Schizosaccharomyces pombe: one gene and its partners. The protein of the gene in region 4 purifies or fractionates together with the protein of the main gene of each other region. This does not show direct contact. Each region holds a gene or a part of one and is shown on either strand. Other genes may lie near its edges. The genes, in order: taf6, spt3, taf12 and hfi1.

What was found.
Region 1: the proteins of hfi1 (region 4) and taf6 purify together in Schizosaccharomyces pombe (affinity purification with mass spectrometry, with the first as the bait; 2 studies listed by BioGRID). This does not show direct contact.
Region 2: the proteins of hfi1 (region 4) and spt3 purify together in Schizosaccharomyces pombe (affinity purification with mass spectrometry, with the first as the bait; 2 studies listed by BioGRID). This does not show direct contact.
Region 3: the proteins of hfi1 (region 4) and taf12 purify together in Schizosaccharomyces pombe (affinity purification with mass spectrometry, with the first as the bait; 2 studies listed by BioGRID). This does not show direct contact.

The regions. Positions count from the first base shown.
Region 1 is NC_003421.2:696,874-705,529, reverse strand, and holds taf6 (TATA-binding protein-associated factor TAF6), read left to right. Parts: upstream 1-3,832; 5' UTR 3,833-3,848; coding exon 3,849-3,980; intron 3,981-4,138; coding exon 4,139-5,365; 3' UTR 5,366-5,784; downstream 5,785-8,656. Other genes in the region: xks1 (xylulose kinase), read left to right, coding at 1-302, 354-557; retromer complex subunit Vps5, read right to left, coding at 1,193-2,923; protein mug123, read right to left, coding at 5,785-6,492; RNA cap binding protein cbc3, read left to right, coding at 7,131-7,350, 7,403-7,655, 7,778-7,925; rml2 (mitochondrial 54S ribosomal protein uL2m), read right to left, coding at 8,447-8,656. UniProt on the Schizosaccharomyces pombe protein: Functions as a component of both the DNA-binding general transcription initiation factor complex TFIID and the transcription coactivator SAGA complex.
Region 2 is NC_003421.2:1,438,268-1,445,647, forward strand, and holds spt3 (SAGA complex subunit Spt3), read left to right. Parts: upstream 1-4,686; 5' UTR 4,687-4,734; coding exon 4,735-5,658; 3' UTR 5,659-6,333; downstream 6,334-7,380. Other genes in the region: histone demethylase Jmj4, read left to right, coding at 108-132, 176-1,572; siderophore-Fe(3+) transporter Str2, read right to left, coding at 1,822-3,403, 3,516-3,727; NADHX dehydratase Nnr2, read left to right, coding at 6,386-7,369. UniProt on the Schizosaccharomyces pombe protein: Component of the transcription coactivator SAGA complex. SAGA acts as a general cofactor required for essentially all RNA polymerase II transcription. At the promoters, SAGA is required for transcription pre-initiation complex (PIC) recruitment.
Region 3 is NC_003424.3:3,676,378-3,683,042, reverse strand, and holds taf12 (SAGA complex/transcription factor TFIID complex subunit A Taf12), read right to left. Parts: upstream 5,055-6,665; 5' UTR 4,959-5,054; coding exon 3,606-4,958; 3' UTR 3,015-3,605; downstream 1-3,014. Other genes in the region: rad54 (DNA repair protein), read left to right, coding at 1-2,456; ABC family Fe transporter Atm1, read right to left, coding at 5,436-6,665. UniProt on the Schizosaccharomyces pombe protein: Functions as a component of both the DNA-binding general transcription initiation factor complex TFIID and the transcription coactivator SAGA complex.
Region 4 is NC_003423.3:3,576,113-3,583,865, reverse strand, and holds hfi1 (SAGA complex subunit Hfi1/Ada1), read left to right. Parts: upstream 1-4,146; 5' UTR 4,147-4,410; coding exon 4,411-4,627; intron 4,628-4,669; coding exon 4,670-4,896; intron 4,897-4,947; coding exon 4,948-5,047; intron 5,048-5,165; coding exon 5,166-5,641; 3' UTR 5,642-5,833; downstream 5,834-7,753. Other genes in the region: his4 (imidazoleglycerol-phosphate synthase), read left to right, coding at 40-159, 266-1,771; Man5GlcNac2-PP-Dol translocation protein Rft1, read right to left, coding at 1,948-3,531; SPOM_SPBC887.17 (transmembrane transporter), read right to left, coding at 5,957-7,753. UniProt on the Schizosaccharomyces pombe protein: Component of the transcription coactivator SAGA complex. SAGA acts as a general cofactor required for essentially all RNA polymerase II transcription. At the promoters, SAGA is required for transcription pre-initiation complex (PIC) recruitment.

The DNA of each region.
Region 1 (8,656 bases), on a different chromosome or scaffold from region 4:
TACCCGCAGTTGGACCGGGTACGTGGAGATTTGCAATCCAAGGCACCGAGTTGTATCAGGTGGATAAAGATGAAGAATCATGGGATTATCCAGATGAGGATGCTTCTGCCATAGTTGAAAGTCAAAATCTTGATATCCGCATGCGGATTACTCCTTTGCTAACTGGTATACCACAACCTGATCGTGTTTATGTTGTAGGAGGAGCTAGTCGTAACGAGGCTATTGTGTTTAAAATTAGCCAGGTTTTGGGATGTGATGTTTATCGGCTAAAACACGGCGGTAGTAATGCCTGTGCTGTTGGCGTAAGTGAACGGAAAATGTTGTTAATTAATAGTTACTGACCATCAATTTAGGGCGCTATCAAGGCTGCATATGCAATGAATGGAAAAGGATTTACCTTTGAAGAATATGTAAACAAATCTTGGGATGAGTCCAAGAAAATTGAACTAATCATGAATAAACCATCCGCCCAAACTTATGAAGAATATGGAAAGCTTTTACCTTTCCTCAAAAAGGCTGAAGACATTGCGATTCAACAGTCAGATATCCGGCATTGAATTGATTAAATGCTTTTCCATTTCGCACTTGATTATGTGATTAGCTATTGATATAACGAGATTATTAATGAAAGCGAAATCCACTTTTTTTTTTAAAAAATATGAATAAACCTTAGGATACAAAATGATAAACGTTTCCTACATGAACATTTTTTTGAGCTATCGTTTTGAGAGCTTTGAATCACGAGTCTAAATTAAGACAAATAAATATGTAACATAAAGTAGTCATACACCATATTATTAAACAAATTTTTGCATACGCTTTTACATATAAGTAACACAATTTAAGCAGGAAAAAGCGTTTAAACATAAACAAATATAAAAAGGCTTGAGTAACAAAGACAATTTTTAAAAACATACACAAGTTATTTATTTACAAAGGAGTGTAGGGTTGCTGTAAGGTTAGTAGATAGAATGCAATATTTTAAGGTACATTTTCTTTTCAAGTAATGAAGTACCATGGACGAAAAGGGAAATTGCAAAAAAATAATTAGAATAGAATAGAAATCGTCAGCTAGAGAAGTGCAAAGTAATAAAGCGGTAGTTGGAAATACATTAATACGAATATGGGATAGAAATATTACACGAAAGAAAAACATAAAAATTAAAAGAGTGCATAGGGAAAATTAGAGTCGTTATTGATCCAAAAATGATTCCCAACGCTCAATAATTTCTTTTTGAGATTCAATTGCAGATTCCAACCACGTTTCAACACTAGCTTTGAGATCATCAACTCTACTGGTTGTGAGAGAACTCAAATCTCGTTTTAACAGAGTTGTTGATTCCGAAAACTCTTTTTCCAGATCAGCAGCTTTTGCTCGATATTTTTCGTATTGTTCTTCCAAGTAAGGGAGTGATTTTTGCTGAGATTTCGCTTGCTTTTTACATTTCTCAAGTTGAGTTTTAGCACGAGAAACAGCTTGAACTGAAGATTGCCATGTCTGCCACAACTTTTGACGTGTAGTAAAGGCATTTTTGGCACTCTCCACGTACCGAATGTACTCCTCCAATGTAGTGCCCAGTGTCAAATTGTCTTGAGCAACCTTACGTTCTTGTACAAATCGAAGCTCTACCTGGAGTTGGGAAAGACCATCAAACTTGGATGATAAGGTGGGCTCTAAATCAACTAAAGATAAATTTCCAACAGCCTCGCCAAAATCATGGATGGCTGAAGCGAACTGTATGCGTTGATCTATGGATAAAAGAAGCGCGTGATAAACCGACTTTAGTTGAGTTTCCAACGAATCAAGTGTATCCTTTGCTTCAATTAAAATTGGATCCTGTTCGGAAAATTTAGAAGATCCAGAGGTATGGAAGGCGGAGGTGAATGAGTCAAGTAAACCAGATGTTGAGGGACCTGAGCGCAAAGGACTTGATGAACTCTCAATGAGAGTAGTACGATGTGTCATTCTAGGGTCAAATGTCTCTGCTTCAAGAAACAACTTAAATGAGTAATCATCACGTAGAACCGGATGGGCAGATATTTTGCGAAGCATTACCTCCAAGGCTGCTCGTCGCTGTTCAATAAATTCATCATCAAAACGGCCTACAACCTGCTTTTCCGGGATGGGAGGAATGATACAACCCGGATGATTATTAGAAAGCAATTGATAAAGAAAAGCAAAATCATTATATCGTCTTTGTACAGTCACATTGCTAACAGAAGGTTGATTGTGTTCCTCTAAACGAGTGGAAACCGAATATACGGTATGCGATTTAGTGATTTCCTTAACGGTATGAGGGTCATGAACTTGGATGTAAAACGGGGTAAGAGATTGAGGTGCCGCTGCCGGGTGCGCCTTCTGATTCTCCGTATCTGTTAATGAGGTTGAACCTTGCTTCTGGGAGGAGGCAGATGAGACAGTGTGTGTAAAATTTGGAGCAGAAGATGAGGCAGCGTCTAAAGTATCTACCGTCTGTTCTGAATTTGGTATAGTGGGATTTTCCGTTGCTCCGATAGGAGAAGGGGAAAAGGAGTTCACTTCTGAGATCCAAGGCTTATTTGCAGAAAAATCTGCATTCAAAGCGGGACTAGATCCTTTTAACGGATTAATTTTTGTATTTAAACCAACTTCCAAACGGTTGTTTTCGGGTGCCATAGAAGGTGCATCAGAAAATTGCAAGGGACCTAAAGGTGCAGAATCCAAAGTTAACGTTTCAAACGGAAGAGATTTCAAATTGACGCTTCGTTTCCTAGGAGATGTATAGATATGAGTTTTTGGTGGAGAAGCTTGAACATTCGGCGACTCTTCTTCCACTCCTTCAGCTGAGGGCTCTTGGTCGGTTTTTGGAGGGTTCAGTGGAGAAACGGAATCTGCGAATGGATTAAATGCATCGTCTTCTTCATATATATTATGCCCAAGCATGATGGTGGCCGGTTGGGTTTTTGGATCTGATCACTGAAATCGTGCCTGAAATGGTGATGCGCAGCCCAACGACGACTAGCGAAAAATAACGATGGTTAAATACGTTTAGCAATGCGGGGTGACTTGCGGTGCAACTAGATAAGTGTCAACAATTCAAGTTTCTAATTCCTTTTAAGGCTACATTAAATTATATTTAGCTTGTAGAAGCAGTATATTGCGTTATACAGTATTGTGAGTGGTGGGTGATAATATATTTATCATTGTAACAGCTAATAACTGGACTGAGAATGATGCTCTGTTCAATCTAGACTTCTAATTTTAACTACTATTTTATATCAATATCAATGGATGTTTTAGTAAACAAACATATAGTCTTCTGCTATTGTTCAACAAATTGAGATTAATTGGTATTCCATGTAGTGTATTTTGATGCGTAACGTAATGTTTAATAGCGATTTTAGTGTAGCTCACTGTCTTGTAAGCTACGCAGTTTGGTATCTGATTTAAGGATACGTAGAACTGCGGTGAGTTTTCCTTGTGATCTATTATATTACAATACACAGGTTGTATAAGTAGCAACTGAGTATAGGTATTGTATTAACTGGGTTATAATGTTACCTATCACTAATATAGCTCATAACTGAACTGAGGAACGAGGTTCAGCAGTAGCTCTATTTATAGTATTCAGATAATATAGATCTTAATAGATTATCATTAAGATCAATCTCCATATCGTATCATACATGGTACGATATATAATTAGAACATGTGACATATAGTGATACGCAACGTAGTGTATTATAGCGTAGTGTAGTATTGCTGACAAGTATGTTAAATAAAGCAGTTGCTTCTAACATCGTTAACTACTTCTCTGCAGATGCAATTCACTCATTGATCCATAAATCGTTCATCTTACTACCAAGTCATGTCCTTGACAGTATGGAATATTGAATCCATCAAAGATGTTGCTGAAATGCTTGGGATTGGCAATCTTGCCGATGAACCAGCAGCAGCTATTGCAATGGATCTCGAATATAGAATTCATCAGGTGGTTCAGGTAGGTTTCGTGAAAGTAGACTATGAGATTTTACTTTCTTTGGAAGAGGCTAAAATAACTAAAAAATTGTTGCTAGTTTTTTACGATGCCTTTCAATTTGCTAGATAGTCTGCTTTATTCTGACATTAAACATAATTCTCTAACAGTATTTGATTTAGGAAGCCACTAAGTTTATGGTTCATTCTAAAAGAACTGTTTTAACTAGCGCAGATATCTCTTCAGCGTTACGGACGTTGAATGTTGAGCCGTTATACGGCTTCAATAATTCTCGTCCATTAGAATTTCATGAAGCCGCTGTAGGTGCAGGCCAAAATTCCCTTTACTACCTTGATGATGAGGAAGTGGATTTTGAAAAAATCATAAACGCTCCTCTCCCTAAAGTCCCTAGAAACATTTCTTACAGTGCACACTGGCTGGCCATCGAAGGTGTGCAGCCAGCCATTCCTCAAAATCCAACTCCCTCAGATCACACAGTTGGAGAATGGGCATCCAAGGGTACTTCAGGGGTTATGCCAGGTGCTTCAACTGCTGCTAAAGAAGCTCGAAACGGTGTCACTTCGATGGACAACGTTGAGATAAAACCGTTGGTGCGACATGTGCTATCCAAAGAGTTACAGCTTTATTTTGAGCGTATTACCAGTGCATTGCTTGATGAAACTAATGTTGAGCTCCGTGATGCTGCCCTATCGAGTTTACGTGACGACCCCGGATTACACCAACTTTTACCATACTTCATAATGTTTTTATCGGATTCTGTAACTCGAAACTTAGGAAATCTTGTGGTTCTTACTACTTTAATGCACATGGCCTGGGCCCTTCTTGATAACCCCAACCTTTTTGTAGAGCCTTACGTCCAACAACTCATGCCATCCATCCTTACTTGTTTGGTCGCGAAGCGCCTTGGCAGTGATCCTAATAATCACGAGCATTATGCACTAAGAGACTTAGCTGCTTTTTTACTCGGGATTGTTTGTGATCGATTTGGTAATGTGTATTATACATTAAAGCCTCGCGTTACTCGCACGGCACTCAAAGCATTTTTGGATAACACCAAGCCATATTCCACTCATTATGGTGCCATCAAAGGCTTAAAAACTATGGGGAAAGAAGCTATTAGAGTCCTCGTCGTTCCCAATATCAAAGTTTACGAAGTCCTAGTTCGGAAAACCTTGGAAAAAGGAAATGAAGAGGAGATTTACGAGGCCAATAAATGTATGGATGCTTTGTACGACGCTTTGCTATTACTGCGGGATGATCAATTACCAAATCAACGAACTCTTCCGCCAAATGCTAGTGGTCTTCTTGAGAAGAACGTTGGCAGTTTAATGGCTGAAAAGATAATGAAGGAAAACGATACCTCATTGCTTCTTGGTCTGCTAGAATAGTCTTCGTTGGGCATAAAATATTTGTTTTTGAACAATTTAATCTATGAATCTCGGACTTTAAAATATTTACCCAATTTTCCACACTACCTAAACCATTATAGGTTCTATAATTAAAATGTTATTGATATTCATGTTACATTAAAACAGGAAGCACCGAATAGCTTTCAAATGAATAAAAATAGAATGATGATAATATTGATATAGTTTATTTCATGTTTTGATTAAAGATGTGAGACTAGCTGACAATGCCGGGTTTTAAATGAAAGAAATACGTAATAGAACAGAAAGGGGAAGGAATGCTTGATTATGCCAAAGAATGCGAATAAAAGTAAACGAATTAAAGCAATTAAACTAGGTGAGGGAATAGCACCATAATAAATAATAATACTTTATCAGATATCGATGGAAAAATAACTGCACTAATCGCTATCGAATTCATCATTGTCCCCCATATTTGTGATTACTAGACGTTTCATTCCTTCTTCAGCACTGTCCTCGTCTGAAGATTCAGAACTGCTGCTTCGTCGATTGACAAGATAAGATTGAATATCATGAGTAGGTGATCCGCTACGAGATTCAAAGCCGTCTGATTGAGTAGTTTCGGCTCTGGAGTCTGCTCTTGAATGTATTGACATTCCCATAATGGAAGGTGCAGTCCCACTATGGGTTGAGCTGGCACGTGAAGACTCAATCATTGAGATATATGTTGGTGCAGTATTCGATGTCGAAATTACCAATTCGTCCTCATCGTCATCCTTACCTTCGGTAGCAGATAATCGTGGAGTAAGAATGGTGTGCTGAGGAGCCATTGTACGTGAATGAAGCGAAGCAGGACGGGTGTGATAAACACCATGATGCTGGCTAGAAAATACCCTTGAGCGCATGCCTCCTAAGCCTTTGCTGGAAGACTTCCCATTTTGTGATGAACTTTTGATTGATGGGCTAGAGTGTAAAGGAGCCACACGGCCTATATCACTCCAGACAGTCGCCTTTGCACGGCGTAAACTCTGTACGTAAGAAAAAGTAGAACCATTTGACTCATGGTTGCTATTAATGGCATTCGAAGTTGGAAGGGAAGACCTCGAATATGGATCATCATGGCTCGATCGAGTAGCTAAACGTTCCATGCGATTAGTCTTCTGTCTAGTAATGATTATTATCTATTTATTCCTTCTTTGAATAAGTTGCTTGTAGAGTAATTCCAATTAATTTTTAAAAATTTCACAGACAAATGCCGGGATTAGAAAACGAATGGTGTTAAGATAGACAATCTTTTATTTGATTAAGCAATCAGCTAAAACTAATTAAACAAAGCTCATATATCTTTGAAAAGCGCAAGAATTAATGTTTCGTACTGAAAATTGCAAATGTGCGGAAGCTATGTTTACATGTCTCATTCTCGAACATACGGTGTCCCAGAGGTAAATCTTATTAGGTTTTACTGTAATATCCCATAAATTTCTGTAAATAACAATACGCAATTCAATGTGCTTTAGCGTACTGTAGATTCTTACACAAACGAGCCTTACATGCAAAAAGCCGATTTAATCTCCATTTTCCTTCTTAATTTTAAATACAAATTACATTTGACTTCCGATCTTCACTCATTATAGGAGACTGTACCGATTACATTGCCTATAGGGATCTTTCATCTCTCGTTATTCTCGTATAGCAAATTATAGCGCGTCGTAATTTTCTTTGGACGGCACATTCACTCTTTTGGAAACTGCATGTCTGCGAAGCAGTTGTAGAGAAGTAGATTTAAATGGATATCGTTGCAGAGACTCAGATTGAAGAAGAATCATTGATACCCGACGCCACTAGTACTCCATTAGAAACGGAAGTGGTGGCTGATACTACATTGCGTAAAACAGCTTTACATCTAGCTGGCGTCGATAATCTTTCAGAAGAACAAGTCAAAGGATTTATTTCAGCTTATGCTCCTGAATCTCAATGTACAATTGAATGGATTAATGATAACGAATGTAAGAAGCGAAAACTGGCAAAGGGTTAGTCTAACTCTATAACCGCGTATAGGCAACGTTGTTTATGCGGATGATGATGTTTCACGAAATGCTTTATTTCATTTAATTATGGAGTCTCCGACAGAATTTTCAGAGGAATTGGAATATCAAACGAAACCACACCCAACTGTACCGACGTGTCAATTCAAAATACGTTACGCCCGCTACGGAGACAAGAAGGTTAAAAGCGCACATCTTTACTCGAGATATTATCTGTTTCACGGTGATCCTCGAGAAGAAAAGGCTCAGAAGAGCAAATCTAAAAGGTATAACTTGTGAAAACCAAATTAGTCCGGGTGCACTCATACTTTTCAAAAATCATTTCCTCTACTTTTGAGAATCTCCTTTTACTCAATTTTATATTCAAATTACTAACACTTTCGCACAGTAGAAATCAAGATGAAAGGGGTTCGCCATTAGATGAACGACTAGGTCCTAAAGTGTCTGACCTTACACTGATGGAAAGAATATTCCAAGTTCGACGCAAGCCACGCAAATCAAGGAGAGACCGTCGTTCCAGGGTTTCCAAGCGTTAATTGTGTTGTAGAGAAATATTAAATACCCAGTTTATCCGCTTTTAAGTCGCTTTTCGCTGGACGAAGGCAAGAAAAAATTAATATGCTAAATTAGCTACAATTTTATAAATAAAATTTTTTTATTTAGTTGGCCATATTAAAATAAAACCGTTCTTTTCTGCGTTTAATAGAATACTCTTTTGGTACCTGAATGATATCGATAACCCTTTTAAGGTAGATGTAAGCAAACGACAATTTTGAATGGGATAGTCCTTAGCTTTAAGCAACGTTGTGATGAACAAAAATTACCAATACAGATTTAAATTGTAAGAGCTAAACTCTTAAAAAATGCTTAAAATTTTTCGTCGATAAATGACGGTCGACACAAAATAACTATACATAAATGCATCTGGTCCACAAATGGATAGGTAATAGCATCGACTATTAAAATGGAGAAGGGATCATGAAAATTGAAATGCATTACGGTAATGTAAAACATAGAAATGTAAAAGTCATGAAGACAGAGATCATTAATAAAATGATTACCGCTTTTCCTTTCCACGAGGACGATCGCGGACGAGTAATTTATTAACATTTTTACCTCTTCTTGTTTTGTATCCACCTTTAGCCAAAACACCCCAAGGAGATTGAGAAGGTTTATTACCAATGCTTTTACCACCACCACCACCATGTGGATGGTCACATGGATTCATAGCTGTACCTCGAACCGTAGGACGAATGCCAAGCCAACG
Region 2 (7,380 bases), on a different chromosome or scaffold from region 4:
AATATTTGTGATCATCAATTTTCAATAGAAAAGCAATTTCCGTTTTGAGCGGCCATATAAAAGGCAAATTTCTCAAATGGTCGTTAGCAGAGCGATAGCAACTTATTATGAGTGAATTATCAACCTATAAAGGTAAGAGAAATTAGGACTCATTGCTCTGAGCTAACGAAAGCAGGATACTCGCCTAAACACGGAGACAAGGTTCCAGTGCTCCAGAACTTGAACGATTTAACACCTAAAGATTTTTATGATAAGTTCATTGCTACCAGGACTCCCGTCATCATTAAATCCTCCTTACCAGAGTCTGACTGGAAGGGTTACCTATGGCAGCAACAGGATTACTTGCTCTCTAAAATTGGTGATATCGTATGCAAGGTTGAGCCGATCGATCCTGTTTCTGGGACCTTTGGACAAGGTATGAGTCGAAATGAAATGTCCATCAAAGAATTTTTTCAAAAACTAAAAAATGGTGAACGACTTTATTTGACTACACAGTACGATGAATCCAACGAGGTTTTAGATGGAGATGATGAGGTTTCTCTTCTTGTTAAAAGTTTATGTCCTCATCCTACTGATGGTTTGCTTACCGACTTTTCAATAACCCCGGCATTAATGGGCAATTTGGTCCCCCAGCAATGCAATCTTTGGATTGGAAAAAGTGAGAACGGCACTTCTTCCGGTTTACACCATGATTTTCACGATAACATATATGCGGTCATTTCCGGATACAAGAGATTCGTAATTATTTCACCAGATCATGCAAATCAACTTAAACTCTCTGGAAAAATTTCAAAAATCCACCCTAATGGGTTAATTTCTTATGAAGGTGAAGATTGCCCTCAGCGCAGCGATGGACTCACTGAGCTTGATGCTGCAATTGCAAAAACACAATTTTTAGAAAAAAAAATTGGTTCTTTGAAAGAACTAGCGGTCCCTCAAGAAAGTATCGAACTATTGGAAGCTGAATATGAAAATGAGATGGACAGAGTTCTTCAAATGCAAATTGGCGGACCTGAAGAAGATTGGAATGATTTAGAAGAAGGAGATGCTGCTAGCTTGTTAGACGGATCAGTTGGCGGTGATCCGGAAAGTGATATTTTATTGAATGAAGGAAATGATATTGAAGCAACTAGTTTGCAGGATACAAAACCCGAATTACCTGATCATTTTACCAAGGTGAGTGTTAATGGATTGCATAAATTCATGGGATTTGATGATGCTAAGAATGTTGATGTTGATAAAGATGAGCTTTCTGCTCTTGCGGGGACAGTTCCTCTAGTGGTGGATTTAGAACCTGGCGACATGCTTTATTTACCAGCAAGTTGGTTTCATGAAGTCACCTCTTCAAGCGCTAGTTCTGGAGGTAGCGATGTACATATTGCATTTAATTATTGGTTTCATCCTCCCGATAATCTTGAAGACTTTGATCATCCCTACTTGGATCGCAACATTTGGCAAGCCAAGCGTCATCTTGTTGGAGAGGCAATTGATCAATTGTATGCTACTAACAAGAAAAACGAAAAACGACCGGCAGAAGACGATTCACCTTCTCAAAAGAAAACTTGTCAATAAAACACTTATTTATAAAACATTTAGAATTGAATAATTTTAAATTTATTAATACAAACCCTTGAAAATCCCTTGTACTAATGATATAAAAAAAAGTCGTAATCGTACTCCAATGACCCAAAAATTGGAAATTTTTGTACGTTTAAGAAAGACAATTGAAAAATGAAAGCATAAAAACGGGGATTTATAAAGATAAGAAGGATTTTTGGATAGCATACTTAGGTTCACTATTCTAAAAAAATTAATTGTAAATTATTCTGAGGGAGTTTCGACGGCTGTATCATGATTTTCAGTGGAAAGGGGGACATCTCTAATTATAACAAGTCCGGCAAACATAAATAAAGAGGCAACAAGTGAGATATGGAAAAGATCCTTCTCGGTGGCAGTATAAGCAACATTAATGATATTACGAATTTGAGTCCCTTGGGGGTATGACAGAGCAGTTCGTAGGTCCCGGAATATTGATTCAATTTCTGGGACAGGAAGATGATCTTTAAGGTCATGTAACAAACGACTTGAGAGCCTCTTACTCCATACGCCTCCTGCAATAGCAGATCCAAAGGCACCACCAACAGAAGAAAACGTTAAATACAACGTGAGATTCATACCTAATTTAGCATGTGACGATACTGACTGAACAGCAATTTGCGCACTTAACGTCAGTAACCCACCTCCCATACCAGCAAGTATAAGCACTAAAACTAGGGGACGGGTATAGTGGTTATCGTTAATACCAAATAAGATGATACCCAAAATCCCCAATACGTACATAGGAACAGAAATCATAAGCAACATCTTGAAGCGACCAAACCGCTTCATGAGAAAACCTGACAGGATAGCCGTCGTAGTCATTGAAAATACAAAAACATTAAGGGTAAGGCTACTCATGTCAATTGATAATCCATAAGAGACTTGAAGGAAAGAAGTTAAAAAATTTGAGAAAATATAATAAGACATGAAATATGTGAAAATTAAAACGCATGAACCAAGGATGGTACGGTCTTTCAAAGATTTTAAGGCGAAAACGGGATAGCGTGCATATTTGACGTCGTAGAAGCATAGGGTTACTAACAAAGCAATGGAGAGAGTTATAGTAAAGAGAGTTAAAATTGTTGAGTCTGGTGAAACTACCTGACTCGAATGGGAAAAAGGCAGCAACAAAAGCGTAAAGCCAGACACAAACAACACTATTCCAAGACCATCCAATTCCTGCCAAAACAAATAAAATAGTCTAAGTTTTTCAGGAGTGGAATGATTGATCAAGTTATGATGTTCTCTATATAAACCTGCAGCCTTGGCTTTTCTTTGGTTTAGGAAAAGCGAAGCCAAGAGAGGTAATGAAACTGTTGGTAAAATGAACGCCCATATACCATAACCCAATCTCCACCCATAATTTTTCTCAGGATGAAAGGCTTGAGCAAGCACTGGTCCAATCCAAACAGTTGCAAGATAGGGAAGTTCTGGGATAGCAGAGAGAATCCCCCGATTGAGTAGCGAAGATGTGTCTGCAATAATTAATTGAGATAACAGACCTAGCCCAGTTTGGCCGCATATATAGAGGATATATGCTACGGTAAACATTTGAATATTTCGAGAAAATGCCAATGAAAGATATCCCAACACTGTCATTCCTAATGCTAAACTAAGACTCTCCGAACGTCCAAAGACATCGGCAGCCTTTACCATTGGTGCTCGAACAACTGCTAAAAGAATATTGCCCACCAAATTGATTGTAGCCAAGTTTGAATGGGCGGAAAAGTTGCTGGTTGCGTATCTTTGCAAAGAATACGTAGTTTGCTGCTCTAATGAAGATGCAAATGACAACAAATAGAGACTAAAAGAGAAGACATTGTGTTAGCTTGATCATACCACAAACACAAACATTCAACAGATGTATGCAAACACTACGTGATTTATGGATTATCATGACTACAATACTAACATACCCAAGGTAAGCAACAATAATCGATCTTTTAGACCATGTTGAAGCAATTGCCTCAGCTTTGGAAACACCTTCTAGTGACAATTCTGAAGTACGATCATTTATGGGTCCAGCATTATCAAGCTCTTCTCTAAGGGGATGAAATTGCTGTTCTAAATTTTCGTTATTACGAAAACTCTTTTTACGATGCTCCATGCTTCCATAATTCTCAGTCATCCAGAGTGTATGGTAAATGGCAGTATGCAAAAGGTACGCCAACACAAATTATCAGATCGTATAGCAAATTAGAGTTTATCTAACCGAGATGTTTAATGAAGTTGGTAAACAATAATAAATAAAGACTGATGAAATGCAGACTAGTTAGTTAATAAGAGGTTTTTGGTTGCTTTAAGAAGCGGTTAAACTTTTTTAAATAATAGAAGAATTACACTTTGACCCTTTCTCCGAGGTTCAGGCTAAGCCGCCAATTTGATGTTCCCGCAATTAACTCCTCGAATTTATGAGTGATGGCTTCAATAGGGTATTCATTTGTTCAGAGTATTCAATTTAGTTTCTAGTCACACTTAAACATTTTGGAAGTATTAAAAATTACAGAGATTGGTAGCAGACGATTTTACAGCATGCTCGAAATAGAAGCATTAAGAAGAAATTGCAATATCACTCAGACTAATGAAATCCTTCTAAACACGAAAACATAATCTAAAGAATTGCTAGTAATATCACAAATTGCTGATAATTAGAAGGTGTTTACATTTATGGCAACAAAGATGAATGATCTAGCAAAAGAGAGTTTCAGACCAAAGAAAGTTGATGCTTTTCACTTTATAGATTACTCAAGTATCTACTTTAAACGGAAGTAAACAAGTTACGAAGGTAAAAAATTTCAAACATTTACAATCTTAAATTAATAAACCTATGCTTCAAAAAAAGACAGGAGTTACTCTTCTAATAACACTTCTTCACTAACTAGTTGTACTGGATGTTCTGTAACGAAAGAATGGACTGGGTTTGCAGTTTGGATAGTGTATCCAGCTCTCATAAAATTTGTTTGCTTTTTGCAAGCTAAACGTTTGACAATGGTTTTTCTTTTTCAACTTAAAGCACTTTATGCCCCATCAATTAGTCCTTCTTACTGGAAACTATATTTTTCTTGTCAGTTTGGAGTTCAGCAACTTGTCAACTACCCACCACTTTGGGAAGTGGTTAAAAATAAGCAATGCGGAATGACTGAGACTGGCAGAACCAGTAAATATCGTGTTGAAATTCAACAAATGATGTTCATTCTAGGGGAGGTGCAGGATCCTCTCCCAGAAACCACACAATTAGTCGAAGAGCTAATACGTGGACAAGTGATGGAGATGTTAATTCAGGCAAATGAGCTAGCTTTACGACGTGGCTCAAGATCTATTACTGTGGAAGATTTATTTTTCTTAATTCGCCATGATCGTGCAAAGGTGAATCGACTAAAGACATACCTGTCATGGAAGGAAGTGCGCAAGAAAGCGAAGGAGCAGGATGCCAATCCTGCCGATACAAAAGATCTTTTTGAGGAAGTAGATTCAAAAACAAGGTCAATGAATGCAGTTGCTATGCCTTGGGAAGTAAAAAATATGTTTACAGAGCCTGTACCGGAAACAGAAGAGTTTGAAGAAGATAACGATACGATGGAAATGGCATATGCGACGCGACAACGTCTTAAAATGGCAGATGAACGCACGAAGAAAATGACGCGTGAGGAGTATGTTCATTGGAGTGAATGTCGACAAGCCAGTTTTACTTATCGAAAAGGCAAGCGATTTCGTGAATGGTGTGGCATGTCTATTCTAACAGATACTCGCCCTGATAATGATATTGTAGATATACTTGGCTTCTTGACCTTTGAGATTGTGGCTACCTTAACTGAGGAAGCACTGGCTGTGAAAGATCGAATGGATCGGATTCAAAATAGCTCGGGTAGTGGAGGCTCTCATGCAGCGCATCATCCGAAAAATTGCAGTTTATTTGATGGACTTACTGAGGGGAGAACTCCCCTTCAAGTTTCTCATGTTTTAGAAGCTTTTCGTCGTTTGCAAATCCCCGATAAAACTCATACTGCTATGCGCAGTTTTCATGGGGGTTTGGTCAAATCTCGTGTGTATCTTATCTAATCATTTTCACTGTCTCTTCTTTTTTTTTAATTGCTGTAAGGCTTCCATTTACATCTAAATGCCCTGTTTTCCTGTAATTACCCATACTAGGTACGTATATGTTATTATCCCCATTACTGGTTCTCCTTGAAACAATATGGTTTAGATCTTACGAAAGCCCCTTTACTTTATGGAGATATTAACTACTCAATATATTTCATCACATTAGACTGTTGTCTTGCATCTCCGATTGAATTCATAATTTTATTTCTATCTTTCCACTAAGCGATATTCTTAATTGCAGCAGTGGTAGTATTTGGACTTTTGGATTTTTTAATATCAAATTTTTCTTATTATACTGGAATCTCATGATATCTGTGAATATTTGCAAATCTTCTTACCAAACTTCGTTTACTCTATACAAACTGCTGATTTTCGTAATGAACAAGGGGATCATCCTTTTGATATCGTCAGTGCGAAATTTTTAAAAAACAAAGGGTTTCTTTACGTTTTTTTTTTGTTTTCGAGAACATTTGAACTTCATCACTGAGCGTCATTTTGATCATACCTTCCACCTTAACATCATACATACGCCAACTCCAAGAATAACCGAACATTCGTATTCCGAAGCACTCACAGTACTTAAGAGATACAAAATTCAGGAATTTTAAAGACTTTTTGATTTATTATAATTGTAATTCTTTATAATTTTTTGCTATCCGAAGAATTCGCTCAACAAGATTACAACATGACATCTGGATCTCCCAAAATTACAAATTTGCTGACTCGTGTGAAGCGCATCATTCCACCACTTCTTGATACCTTCCACAAAGGTCAAGCCGGTCGAGTTGGTGTTTTTGGGGGTTGTCAGCACTACACAGGTGCTCCGTACTATTCTTCGATGTCGTCGATGCTCTTCGGCAGTGACCAAAGCCACATATTTTGTGAAAAAGAAGCTGCAAATGTCATTAAAAGCTATTCTCCTGATCTGATTGTTCATCCATTTTTACGTGAAAAGGACAAAGCTGGACCAGAAGATAGTGTCGATAAATGCTTTGAACTTATAAAGCCCATGATGGGAAGATTGCATGCCATCGTAATTGGGCCTGGATTGGGACGTGATGAATGGATGCAAGAGATTATGGCCAAAGTAATTGAGTATGCGCGCAAAAATGATATGCCTATGGTTATCGATGCTGATGGCTTGTGGTTAATTCAACAACGTCCCGAATTGGTTTCGGGTTATCATAATGTAATTTTAACACCTAACGTTATTGAGTTCAAAAGACTTTGCGACAAGCTTGACATTAAGAGTGACGGACCCGATGCTTGCAATCAGCTAGCTGGCAAACTAAATTTGCTCATCATTCAAAAAGGCCAATCCGATATTATTTCCGATGGCGCTACTGCATATGCTTGCTCCGTTCCTGGTGGTCTTAAACGTTGTGGTGGTCAGGGTGACATTTTAACTGGTATACTTGCTACATTCCTTGCTTGGAGACATGCTTATCTTAGCAAAGAATGGGATACAGAAGGTAATATGGATGCTAAAGAATGTCTCTTCCTTGCCGCATTTGGAGCCTCTGCCTGTACTCGCTGGTGCAGTCGTTTGGCGTTTAAGGAATGTGGTCGTGCAACTCAATCAACTGACCTGGTCAGACATGTGGGTAAAGCGTATAATGCGTTAATGGAGGATGAGATACCGTCTGTCGAGGAAAAAATAAAAGATTAAAAAAAAATAAT
Region 3 (6,665 bases), on a different chromosome or scaffold from region 4:
AAAAGTTTAAATGCCCTTCTTTAGTGATTTCAGAAAAGCGAAAAGAGCTTCCTTTACGCAAAAAGCCAAGAGTTAACTACAGCGAATATGGTTCTGTTGATGGGAAGTATGATTCAGCTTACGTATCTGAAAATGTGTCTGGGTTGGCAACCATCAAAGAAGCTAATCGATTAATACTAAATCATGAACGACGAGATCCCTCAACAGTCATTAAGAAACAGTTCTCTGTGCCTAAACCTATCAAGGGTCATGAAGATATATCTAAACTGTGTGCACATCGTCCACCTCCTACACTGGGAATGAAAAGGAAGGTGGATTTTATTCCTCGTCCCCTTTACGATCCTGCTGATGAATTTGCTATCGTTTTATATGATCCCACTACTGATGCAGATGAGATCATTCCTGATATAAAAGAGGTCTTAGCGGAAAAACGTAAAAAAGATGAATTGTTAAAAAATCGAAAAGGAAAGAAAGAAATTTCTGATAGTGAGCCTGAAAGTGACCATGATTCATGTGTCTCCACTGACACAGTGGCTAGCTGTTCTACCGAGCAAAGTCTCATAACCTCTAATACCTCAAAGCATAGAAGACCAAATAAAAGTTTGAAAGATCTACTAGGAATTCAGAAAGAAAAACCTCCACCTCCTCCTGTTGCTGTTGTCATTGATCCAAAACTTGCTCGTATTCTAAGACCTCATCAAATAGAAGGTGTCAAATTCTTGTACAAGTGTGTAACTGGAAGGATTGACCGTTGTGCAAATGGATGTATTATGGCAGATGAGATGGGACTTGGTAAGACACTTCAATGTATTGCTTTGTTATGGACCCTTTTAAAACAGTCTCCTCAGGCTGGAAAACCGACAATTGAAAAGGCAATTATAACTTGTCCTTCTTCTTTAGTCAAAAATTGGGCTAATGAACTTGTCAAATGGTTAGGAAAAGATGCTATTACTCCATTCATATTGGACGGTAAAAGCTCCAAACAGGAGTTAATCATGGCTTTGCAACAATGGGCATCCGTACATGGACGACAAGTCACACGTCCAGTGCTTATTGCCAGTTATGAAACCCTTAGAAGTTATGTTGAGCATCTCAACAACGCAGAAATTGGAATGCTTCTTTGTGACGAAGGTCATCGTCTTAAGAATAGTGATTCTTTGACTTTTACGGCATTAGACAAGCTAAACGTTCAAAGGCGTGTCATCCTTTCTGGTACCCCTATTCAAAATGATCTAAGCGAATACTTTTCGTTGTTAAATTTTGCGAATCCTGGGTTGTTAGGTTCAAGGCAAGAGTTCAGAAAAAATTATGAAATTCCAATTTTAAAAGGTCGTGATGCTGACGGAACAGAAAAAGATAAGGAGAATGGTGATGCTAAGTTAGCTGAGTTAGCCAAGATTGTCAATCGGTTTATTATTCGTCGTACGAATGATATTCTCTCCAAATATTTGCCTGTTAAATACGAACATGTTGTCTTTTGCAACCTTTCCGAATTTCAGCTTTCTTTGTACAAGCATTTTATTACCTCGCCTGAAATCAATAAAATCTTAAGGGGGACCGGCAGTCAACCACTAAAAGCTATAGGTCTGCTAAAAAAAATATGTAATCATCCTGATCTATTGAATTTAACTGAGGACTTGGAAGGTTGTGAGGCTCTATTCCCTCCAGGATTTATTCCCCGTGAGCTAAGAGGGCGCGATAGAAACATTGACTCCTCTTTATCAGGTAAAATGTTAGTGTTGGAACGAATGCTCTATCAAATAAAACAAGAGACAGACGATAAAATTGTTTTAATTAGCAATTACACCTCCACGCTTGACTTGTTTGAGCAGCTTTGTAGAGCTCGCGGTTACAAGGCTCTTCGGCTAGATGGTACTATGAATGTAAATAAACGACAACGTTTAGTTGACACATTCAATGACCCGGAAAAGGATGCTTTTGTGTTTTTATTATCTTCTAAAGCAGGTGGTTGTGGTATTAACCTTATTGGCGCTAATCGTCTTATTCTGTTTGATCCCGATTGGAATCCAGCCGCCGATCAACAAGCTTTAGCTCGAGTTTGGCGTGATGGGCAAAAGAAGGACTGCTTTGTTTACCGTTTCATAGCTACTGGAACCATCGAAGAAAAGATATTCCAAAGGCAGTCTCATAAGCAATCTTTGTCTTCTTGTGTTGTGGATGAAGCTCAAGATGTCGAAAGACATTTTTCGCTTGATAACTTAAGGCAGCTGTTTCAGCTTAACGATCACACAGTCTGTGAAACTCATGAAACATATAAATGTAAACGGTGTCGTGATGGAAAACAATTCATCCGAGCCCCAGCCATGTTATACGGTGATACTAGCACATGGAATCATTTTACAAATCCCACATTAGACCGAATAGAAGATCACTTGCTAAAACGTGAGGCAGGAAAACAGCAAGTGAGTACCGTTTTCCAATACAAATCTCATTAATTTTTACGTGTTTAATTACGCTGCTCTCTTCACAAATCCTCATATTTTCATTTAGTTTGATTTGTCTTTAAACTACTCTCACCTCTCTTTATCCCTGTTTGATTTGCTATTCGATGCATAAAACAATATCATGAATTTAATTCCGGTTTTTAAAATATAGTTTTTAATTTAATTAATATCCAACCCTCAATTGTATCCTACCAAACCTCAATTACTCCTTGGTAAGCTTTGTGACAAAATTATTACGAATTTACAGGTATGCTGAAATAAATTTTTTTTTTTAGAATGTTATATTCAATTGTTAAGAGCATATAATTTGTCATATTTTTCTGAAACATTTGAAATTGCATTTGTTAGTATTCGAACCCGTGACAGTTTTAGCACTGCTTTTCTATATTAAGATTGGGATGTCTCGAATTTTTGTTATTAACCATGTAGCTACTTTTAGGCAAACTGCATACATCTTATATGCTTTTTGTCACTCTAATAGCTTATATAAACATTGCTTATGTCTAAATACTTTGGACGTTCAAACTCGTGAATGTTCCAATATAGGTAGAAGCTTACATAACCAATTATTTATTTAAGGGTTGTTTCATTTGCAATCTTATATATTACTTCTAAATATTATATATGCATATTTACTTAACAAAAATAGTAACATTCAATAGTAGTTAGACCCGGATTATAAAGCCAATCGACAAATATCAAGTTTGCTGGCAACGGACAATGACTCGAATTTGTCGTCTAATGATGATTTTCTGAGATTGTAAAACGTATCCATAAGGTGAAACCGTTCTTAAATAACGGTTAGAGTTAGTGGTGAGGTTGGATAGAGAGAATATGATTCTCGAACCCATAATTCTTTAAACAATTATTTCTAAAACAATCATATTGGAACTGAAAGTGTTTGGCTATTTTTTGACCTTTATGACAAATAAACGTTAAAAGTTTAAGACGACATTGCACCATAGATTGATGGGTAGGATGTTTTGATAGAGACAAATTCGGAAATTTTAATTTTGTCAACGGTTAAGGATACCAAAAACCGTAGAAATGCTAGATTTTTATTTTTAAAAATTTTGACCTTTTTTCTTTTACATAAGTCCATGAAATCGCATAACAGTATAAAATTCTCTTTCATTGGCGTTAGTCCTTATTCAAACTTTTAGCAGTTCCAATAGCGTTTTGCTTTTGCTGATATGAAGGTGTGGGCCCAGTCTTACGAGCGCTCTTGACGATATCATCACTAGCAAACCCAGGGAGTCGGATGTTCCAGTTCCTTTCTAAATGCAATTGAACATCTCTTACGTCAAGCGTATCAGATTTTCTATGTTTAGCAAGTCTGCATGCAAAATTAGTGACTGATTCGACAAACTCATCAGCAATCTCTAAAAGGAGTTCTTCAACTTCTGGTTCTATTTTCTCTTCCGAGTCAATTTGCTGTAGCAAATCATGCAATTTTCTCTTTGATAATAACCGGTTTCCATTGTCAAGCTCGTAGTGTGGAGCACGAGATAATCCCGGTGTGCTGAGACCAATACTTCCAGATGCATATCCACCAGTTAATGTAGCACGACTCGGAGGAACAGAAAACGGTATTGGTGATTTGGAGTCAACCTTGGGTAAATGGTTCGCTGACATGTAAGAAGGAGTTTGTGACTTTTCAACGTTATTTGCCAAACCCGACTGTTGAGTTGCAGAAGTAGCGAGCTCGGTACTTTCATTGCTAACATTAGCTGCGGAAACGCCAACAGGAGTTTCAGGAACAGAAGACGTCTCGGGATTTATACGTTGTTGAGGAGCATTAGCTTGTGCTTGGGTCTGTTGTAATTGAGGAGTTGAAGCAGTGCTTTTTCTAGTATCAGTTGAGGCGTTCACAGGAGTTGATGTACCAGTATTATTACCGTTAGCAGAAGATGCCTGCCTATTTTGTAATTGTTGAATGGAACGAATGCCGTTAGAAATGGCAGCGGTAAATTGCGCGATTTTTACAGTCAACTCGGACTCCTGCTTTACCAAAGCCTCGCGAGCACTAGTGTCCAATCTTTCATTTGTAGAAAGTTCGTTTTTAATGCGACCTAAAGCCTCTTTCATTTCTGTTAAGTAGTTCTGAGCAGTTTGGAGTTGCCTATGCCTGACTAAAAGCATTGTTTGTTCTTGAGCATTCAACTGAGGTCGCGGGCGGGTATTTGAAGGCTCCGGAGTACCTTGCTGAAGAGCTCCATTGGATTGTAATTGTTGTAAGAGTTGTTGATTTGGAAGTTGTCCAGATTGCGCGTGGCCTTGTAATTGACGACGAATGGTTTGAGCTTGAAGCAAATAAACTTGTCCCTGAGGAGTATTAAGGCCAACGTTTTGAGCAAGTTGCTGATACATAGTCATAGTGTGTAACAAAGATGTTAACTGGTTCGTTCTCTGTTGTGAAAATTGTGCCTGATTTACCGGTCCAGCAGATGGTCGTTGAACTGGTGTTCCAGGGCTTGAATGCTGCCCATTCATTTTCCTTTTTTTATTATTTCCTTTTATGCTATAAACTAGATTAAAAATCCAAAGACAAGCACAGCTTTTTTACTACACAAATATTTGGGAGTTGCCAAACTGACTGCGAGCTAGGGTCGTCGCGAGCGCCTGAGGTAGTACAAGCATTGAAGTCTACTAGTATGGGGGAAATGACTAATTTTCGTATTATAGATAAGTATAAATGAACTAAAAAATAATCACATTTAGTAATTTTGGATTTTTTTGTAACATTGTAGAAATATTTAATCCAGCCAATTTATAATAGATTATAAGCGAAAACAAGAAAATAAATTAAAATACGTATTCAAGACATTAACAAAATAATACCAAAAAAATTATAGAAACGGCTACTTAACTTTCTGAATGAAATATCAAAAGTGGGACCATATTCAAGAAAAAAAAAATTAACTTGAACAGCCTGCTTAATGATATAATATTTTTTAGTTAGGGAATTAATCATGCATCTCCGGATTTATTCGATTCGCCAAAGGGGGATTCCTGGGAGTGCCACATTGAAGTGTATACACTGTTCTTAGCCATAAGCTGTTCATGACTACCTTGCTCAACAACACGACCCTTTTCAAGAACGAATATAATGTCACAATCCTTTATTGTGCGAAGACGGTGAGCGATGAATACACTGGTTTTGTGAGATCCCTTAATAAGATCATTGATATTTCTCAATAGTGCGCGTTCAGTATTAGTGTCCAAAGCTGAAGTGGCTTCGTCAAAAAAAAGAATTTCTGGATTCTTAAGTAATAGCCTTGAAACTGCAAGTCTTTGCTTTTCTCCTCCAGAGATCATTAAACCACGTTCGCCAACTTTTGTTTGATATCCCTCTGGAAAGCTTTCAATAATGTCATGAATCTTAGCTTTTTTGGCGGCTTCCACTATTTCGTCGTTAGATGCCTTCGGATTACCATACCCAATATTGTAAAGGATTGTATCATTAAATAGAGGCGTGTCCTGAGGTACAACACCGATGGCTTTTCGAAGTGAATTTAGAGTTATCTGGTCAAGTCTTTGATTGTCTATTAAAATCTTTCCTGAGTCCGTATCGTAAAAGCGGAACAAAAGTCGAAGGATTGTTGATTTACCACATCCGCTTGCGCCTACAAAAGCGACTTTTGCTCCAGCGGGGATGTTAAAACTGCAACCATTAAGAATAGGTCTATTTGGATTATACGAAAAATGAACGTTATCGAATTGAATAGATCCGCCTTTAAGAACCAAATCTCGAGCATCTGGCGCCTCCTTCACTTGGATATTAATGCGCTTTAAAGAAAACAATTGCTCCATATCAGTAAAAGCCTGTCTCATTTCGCGATAGACAGATCCAAGGAAGTTAAGAGGAATTGACAACTGAAATACTAATTGGTTAATCATGACAAGGTCACCTACAGTAAGGTTGGAAGTTACAATTCCACGACAACCCATGTACATCATCAAAGTAAGAGCGGTAGAGAATATAATAGCCTGTCCTGAATTCAAAAAGGCCAAAGAAGATGCTACCTTAACGTTGGCTTTTTCGTAGGCGGAAAGATGCTTTTCATATCTGCTCATTTCGTATGATTCGTTATTAAAAGTTTTAACGGCTTCATAATTAATCAGAGATTCAATTGCCGCGGCTGATGCTTTACTGTCAGCAGCATTTGCTTGACGACGGAATACAGTTCTCCAGGATGT
Region 4 (7,753 bases):
ATAAGCAAATTTGAAGTTACATTTTGCATTACTCATATTATGATTGTTTCAATAGTTGATTATGGTAGTGGAAACGTTCGATCCTTAATCAATGCCGTTAGGTATTTAGGGTTTGAAACACAATGGATCAGGAATCCCCATGATATTGAAAAAGCTGAAGTATGTCATTATTGTTTTTAAAAATGTTGTTACCATCTACATTATAAAGGCTAAGTCAAATCGGTTTTTTTTTTCGTTTTCATCAAATACTAATCTATACTTTCAGTGCTTGATTTTTCCTGGTGTTGGAAACTTTGGTTTCGTATGCGATTCCTTAGCAAAGCAAGGATTTTTAGAACCCTTGCGTCGCTATGCTTTGTCTGGCAAACCTTTTATGGCTGTATGCGTTGGAATCCAAGCATTATTCGAGGGGTCTGTTGAAGCACCACATTCTAAAGGGTTGGGCGTATTTCCGGGGTTAGTCCAAAGGTTTGACAACGATGACAAGACCGTCCCTCATATTGGTTGGAATTCTTGTGCTGTACGATCTGACACTTCAAAAGAGTTTTTTGGTATGCGCCCACATGACAAATTTTATTTTGTGCACTCTTATATGATTCCAGAAAAGGGACTTATCCTTCCTCCAGAGTTCAAAATTGCTACCACGAAATATGGAAATGAAACCTTTGTAGGTGCTATTGTAAAGAATAATTTTTTAGCTACCCAATTTCATCCGGAAAAAAGTGGATCTGCAGGTTTGCGTTGTTTAAAGGCATTTTTAACCGGTAATTATGAGCAACCTATAAGTGGTGAAGCATCTAAACTTATAGAGAACTCCTTTGGCGGATTAACAAAGCGTATTATTGCTTGCTTAGATGTCCGTTCCAACGACGCTGGTGACCTTGTAGTTACAAAAGGTGATCAATATGATGTCCGTGAAAAATCTTCTGGAAGCGAGGTTAGAAATCTTGGAAAACCTGTGGAGTTATGTCAAAGATATTTTCAAGAAGGCGCTGACGAAGTCGTTTTTTTGAACATCACTTCATTTAGAAATTGTCCAATGGCCGATGCACCTATGTTACAGGTTTTAGAAAAGGCAGCTCAAACAGTATTTGTACCTTTAACAGTAGGTGGTGGAATCAGAGATGTATCAGATCCTGATGGGACTTTTCATCCTGCTGTCGAAGTTGCTGGTATTTACTTTAGATCAGGTGCCGACAAAGTATCTATTGGAAGTGACGCCGTTTATGCCGCAGAAAAGTATTACGAAAATGGGAAGAAATTGAGTGGAAAAACTGCTATAGAAACAATTTCTAAGGCCTATGGTAATCAGGCAGTTGTTATTTCGGTTGATCCTAAACGTCAGTATGTAAAAGTTCCTGAAGATACTAAACACCATGTTGTGAAAACATCTCGGCTTGGACCTAATGGAGAAGCATATTGTTGGTATCAGTGCACCGTTAAAGGAGGTCGTGAATATCGTGATATTGATGTTGTTGAACTTACTCGTGCTTGTGAAGCAATGGGTGCTGGTGAAGTACTATTAAATTGTATGGATCAAGACGGTTCAAATGCTGGGTATGACATAGAACTTGTTCGTCTTGTTAAAAACTCTGTGAATATTCCAGTAATAGCTTCAAGTGGTGCTGGTATTCCCCAACATTTTGAAGAAGTATTTAAAGAAACGGATTGTGATGCAGCTCTTGCCGCCGGAATTTTTCATCGACAAACTTGTCGCATAGAAGACGTCAAAGAATATCTGGCAATACACGACGTTCTGGTTCGCACTTAGCTAGCGAAGTCCGTCTGAATTACGATAAAAAAATATTTGTATCTAATTCCTTCCCCTTTTAGCACTAAATTAGATGTCAATAGTGCACTGAAATTGCATATGCCAATAAAATTTGTTTTGGATAATATAAATTTTTATCCAGATTATTAAAACTATCTGACATAGAGTAGTATTTATTACTTTATGTAATATTTACTCAGCAGAATTTTTGCATATCCTCTTACGTCTTTATCGACTAAAATTATAAAACAACTGTACAAGATGGCCAGTGAGGGCGCGGACAGGAAGTATACCAAAAAGGGGACTTTAGATTCTCTCCAATGTTTTACGAGGAAGCTGCTTATAATAGACAAAAGAATTGAAAGAGCTAGCAAAAAAGGCCTAGGAAGAGACCTCGGGAGACTAAAATCTTTATAATTGTGAAGAATAAACCGTAAGGCAAAACATATCCTCAGTGATAAATTTAATATATTTGCAAGGATTAATCCATGAGAGCCTAAATTAAACCATGATAGAAGGAATTTTCCAGTAATAAAATAAAATACAGCGGAAGCCAAATAACACTTCCCTTGATCATACAACTGAGAAGAGTTGGCTGCTGAAACATAAAATGCTTCCAACACGCCGTTTGCAGCCATAAACGGAATATACATTGCGTACCAAGATAAAATGCTAGAGCTATCAGGAGAAGCCCACTTACTTCCTGCGCCAAACAAAAGAACAATGTCCGAGTAATTACTTCCAAAAAGGATAAACAAACTCATATAAGAATATAATTTTAAAATCCATGCCAACAAATTTAAAGCCTTTTTTTCATCTTTTTTGTTCTTATAATGCGTTAACTGAGCAAAAACAATGTGAGAATGGTCCTCTACTGGTCGAAACACGATTCTCGCCAATAAAGAACCATAATTGGAAGCTAGCGCATACGGACCTTGAGCAGAAGGAGAAGCATACCATGCTACCATTATCTTATCGCCCTTTGTGATTAGGTGTTTTAACAACACTTGATAAGTATGTGAACAGATTATTCGAAGAGTAGAACTATCCCAAAATATATACCTCTCGTTTTCTCCCACTTTGTGGAGAAATATGGAGAATGGCTGTTTAGCAAAATACCTTAAAGTAAAAAAAATGGTTACTTTTTCTGACAAGTTACCGAGGGCAAAAGGAAGACTTGACGGTGCCTTATTCCTTCCTAAAACAGAAATTGCAAAGGACAATAAAGAGCAAATAATTGTTCCAAGTCCTTCTGCTGAAGCAGTCTTGGAGAACTTCTGGCGCCATTGAAGAACTTCATAGTATGGTTCAGATAGCAACTCAATGAAACTAGAAACGGTGTAAATAAAAATACATGTTTTAGAATAAGGAAAATTAGGAAGTGAATAGAAGTAAAATAAAGAAACCAGAAGCGATATTACGATACCAATGTAAACACTGATCAAAGAAGTATTCTTGATCAATTGCAACTGATCACTTAATTTTTTTGATTTGTTTGACTCAGTAGAAGTAGAGGTAATTATTGCATTTTCCGAAGGAATTCTTTGCATAGCTAATCGAACCGACTCCCTGCTGAGGAAAAGGATCGTACTCTGTAATATCTCAAAATGAATAGAAGAAAATGCATAGGCGCTAGGACTAGTTAACCGAATGGTCAGTTGGTTTAAGAAGAAAGTCAATATTCTCGAACTTCCTTGAAAAAATATGGAGGAGCGCAGTCCCTTCGAGGACGACTGCAGCAAAGAATCAGATTTATCCATTAGCTAGTTGGTACTGATCTAGATTCAAAGAATTATACTACAAGTCAATAGTTGTTTACCTCTTTCTTCCATTAATGTCCCAACTTTTTTTATGTAATTCGTATTCTAACTTATAAATGAGATATTTACTTGGTGGATTTGGCGCATAAATGGGTGTCTCTTGAGCGCGCAGTTAACTTTTCAGGACACATTACTAACATAGAGCATTAAGGAATTCTACAATATACTTGAGTTAACGAAGTAGAGTTGCCATGTTTAACCCGCCGGCTATACAGCCATATTTGTATTAAAGATGCGTTAAAGTACAGTAAGCTTCTACTGCTTGTAATTCATATGCTGTTAATACCAGGTTACCTTAAACTTCCATAAGTATAATAATCACAAACCCATTTCACGACTGATTTTAAGGACGTAGGTACAATTAAAATTCGTTTTCCTATTTTATAATTTTGTGGTTAGATAATTAATAGTAAATCAGATACTCAAGAATATACAGATGATTATTACTGTATACTAAAATTTTTTTAGGCTGAAGAGTGTTTGATGTTTAGTGAAGCGTACCGTAAATTAAGCATTGCTGGCATGTAATAACTTGGACTACTTCTAGTTTAAGGCATCATTCTACTAAGTCTGAAAGTTTTTTGTTTGAAACTCATTAAGAACCTTTGTAGACAACTTTCTATTAAAAAAAATAGGTTCTTTATTTGTACTTAGCTTTACTTTTGCATCTGCTTTTTAGCTACAAGTTTGAACAATTTACTTGTGTTTTACACCAATACTGGGACTTATGCGATTAAGCTTTCTATTTTAATTCTGCTATTATTTTTTTTTGTCATAAACTTATTTTGATGACCTTGATGATTAAATTGTACTAGAAAAATGACAGAAGGAGTTACTGTACAAAAAGTTCAAAGCGCTAGCTCGAATGGGCACAAACCCAACACAGTAATTTCGCAAATAATCTCAGAGATGCAATCACTTTTGGGTAGCAGTTTCGAGGTGTATACTAAAACAATGACGGACTTCTTAATTGGACAGTTGAGCAGAAAGGAAATGAAGTCGATGCTGTTAACTTTCGCTGGAAAATCAAATTTTGGTAAGATATAAATTTTTATTTAATATTGTTCTGACACTTTAGATAAACTACACAATTCAATCATTTTTCATATTCTCAAATTGATGCAAAAAAATAATGATACCTTTAGTGCTCTACATCATTTACCTTGGTTTAAACGGAAGAAAGTCGATAATAGTTTATTTTTACATAAAAAAATTAGTTCGCAGAATGCACAGGTTCGATTAATCAAGCGAATAGTAATGTCTTTAAGTTATAAAGACCGGGCTAGGATCAAAACTGCTTTAAAAGTAGGCTTTATTATAAGTCTTTTTTATCACCTTTCTAACAAACATATCTAGGAAAAGCCAGTTACACCAAGTTTGATCTCAGGATTGCTGCTGGAAACGAGAATTGCAAAATTACCTAAAATTCCTGTATCCCGAGACAAGCTGAATTCAGGTAAGCCTATTCTTTAATAGGTTCTAAGGAAGTATTCAAAAGTGTAACCATTTAATTTTTATTAACGGAAATTTCCTTTTAACCACAATTTGGGTAATATTTTCACTAACCTCATTAGTATTTGTAAATGATATTAAAGCCGGCTATGTTGCACCTCTAGCATGTGAAACACTTGAACTTCCAGATTCAGAATCGTTAAAAGAACGAATTACAGCTATTTCTCTTGAAAATGGCTTATTGGGTGGTGTACAAAAGGGTGTGTCTGATATTATATTGGCTGGGTTAGAAAGCCATCTAAAGAACATTCTAAGCAGATGCTTTTCTATATTAAACAAAAATATTCGACAAAAAAATACTGAAAATGATGCGGCAGGTTTTACCATTAATGACCTTAATCTAGCATGGACTATTGAACCTCATGCTTTTGTCGAACAGTATCCACAGAAGTTAAGAATGCCGTTTTTGCTTCATGATAGTTATACTGAAGATGAAATTTCAATTTGTGCAGAATCGCCAAGCTACATGCTTGCAAGCAATGATGCGCAAAGTGATAGGAATTCTGTTGCTTCCCTTTTAGATGAAGTGCTTTCATAACCGCGGAGGTTCTTTTTTTTTTAATCTAATCGTCAGAAGTGCTTTATTTATTTACAATCTTAAAAGCTTCAAGGGCTATTCTTCAAGCGTTTCAGCTCGCAAATATACAAGACTTGATTATCCTTTTAAGTTAGATTTTTTTCACATATTTTTTTTTTTTAATTTATAGTAATGAATTTAATATATAACAGGTTGCGAAATATGTAAGATGAAGCAATATAGATATTCTAAAATACGTAATTATCCAGCAAGATTTACCGACAGAATACTATTATTGTTCAAGATTTGCTAAAATATAGTATTAGTAAAAACTGTTTAAATACGATCATCAGTATCCATATCGATGCCAGCATAAGGCGTCCGGAAATCCTGTTGTCTATTACTGAAACTTTCACTTTCGCCAACAGCTTCGTCAACAGAAATGCGCTCATCGTCCATCTTCTTTAAAGATGTTTCTTTCATTGTAACGTCCTCATGAGTAGTTTTCTCATTTTTACCGTCCTCCGAATAAGATCTACTAGTAGCCATCTCTAAGGTGGCATTGTCCATAGCTTTGCGGTCGTCAGGATCTTCCCAAAATCTGCGGTTACCCTTAAAGAGGCGACGTACCCATTGAGGCAATAAACCCCCCTCGACACGCCATGTCCAAGCTTCTTTTTGATTATAGTCAGCCGGTACAAGTCTACCGCGTGACATTTTGTCAATAGCATAAATAATGGAGTTTAGTAGAGCGTAGCAAATAATACCGGCAATCAAGCCATACGCAATCGAGTAGGTAAATGGCATCAAAGCAATTGTAATAAAAGCAGGAATGGAGTCACCAAGGTAACTCCAGTTAATCAATGTAGTACTCTTCATCATCATACTGCCGACAAGTACTAATGTAGAACCGGTAGCCCAGACTGGAATACTTGAAAAAATAGGAGCAAAGAAAAGAGAAATGAAAAAGCAAATGCCTACAACCATACCTAAAATCCCTGTTCTACCGCCAGCCGAAATACCAGACCCGGATTCAATAAAAGCAGTAACAGGTGAGCAACCAAAAAGTGACCCAATAGAAATACTTAAAGCATCGACGATGTAAGCAACTGCGGATCCTTCAAAGTCTTGAGTACGAGGATCGACCAAACCAGCATAGTTAGCCATTGAGTAAAGTGTACCAGTCATATCCATAATGTCAACGTACAGAAAAGTAATCAGTGCAATGGCAAATTGACCGCCTGTAACGTTCCACTGTTGGGCAACAAGAATACGGTTAATTTTTCGAAAGCTAACAACCTTTTTGAAAAAATCAAAATTATAATCCCCTGTAAGCGTGTGGGGAAACATAGTTACTAATGAGCGTCTAGGCCAACTTGTGATAGTGACAAGTGCGATTCCAGCAAGGACAGCACCTTTAAATTTGTACATCATTAAAATAGCAGTGAGAACACCGCCACAGAATATACCTACCCACATTCTTCCTGATTGTAATTGATGACCGTTGCAGCTATAATCAGCGTTTAGGTATTCTGGAGGGCATCCTCCTAAAGCGACAATATCAGATGAGGAATGCCCAATGACTCCTAACCCAGCACTTGGACTGAGTCCGATAATTGTGAGATACAAACCAATACCAGCACCAGTAGCAAATTTCAAAGAGGCAGGAATAACTCGCGCCAGCCATTGGCGTAGACCTATAACAGTTAAACCAGTAAAGATGAATCCTTCAACAAAAACAGCTAAAAGAGCTTCTCGATAGGAAACACGTCCAGTGCCATTATATCCGACAACTTGGTACGCAAAATAAGCATTTAAACCCATACCAGGGGCCATACCCACGGGCATATTGGCAAAAAGACCCATGCAGAAAGAAGCGAGAGCAGAAATGGCAGCGGTGGCTGTGACGAGATCACGATGAAAGTCTTCTTTGCAAAGTACATAGTCATCAAGTTTGTCACAATCATCACGATTAGCTTCAGTACATTCGCAAGTGCCGCCCGTATCTACGAGAATGGTAGCATTGACAGCCAAAATGTAAGCCATTGCAAAAAAGGTAGTAAGACCAGCACTAATTTCGAGAGAAAAGCGACTGCCTTTACGCTCCCGAGGATGACCACATCCCTCTAGACG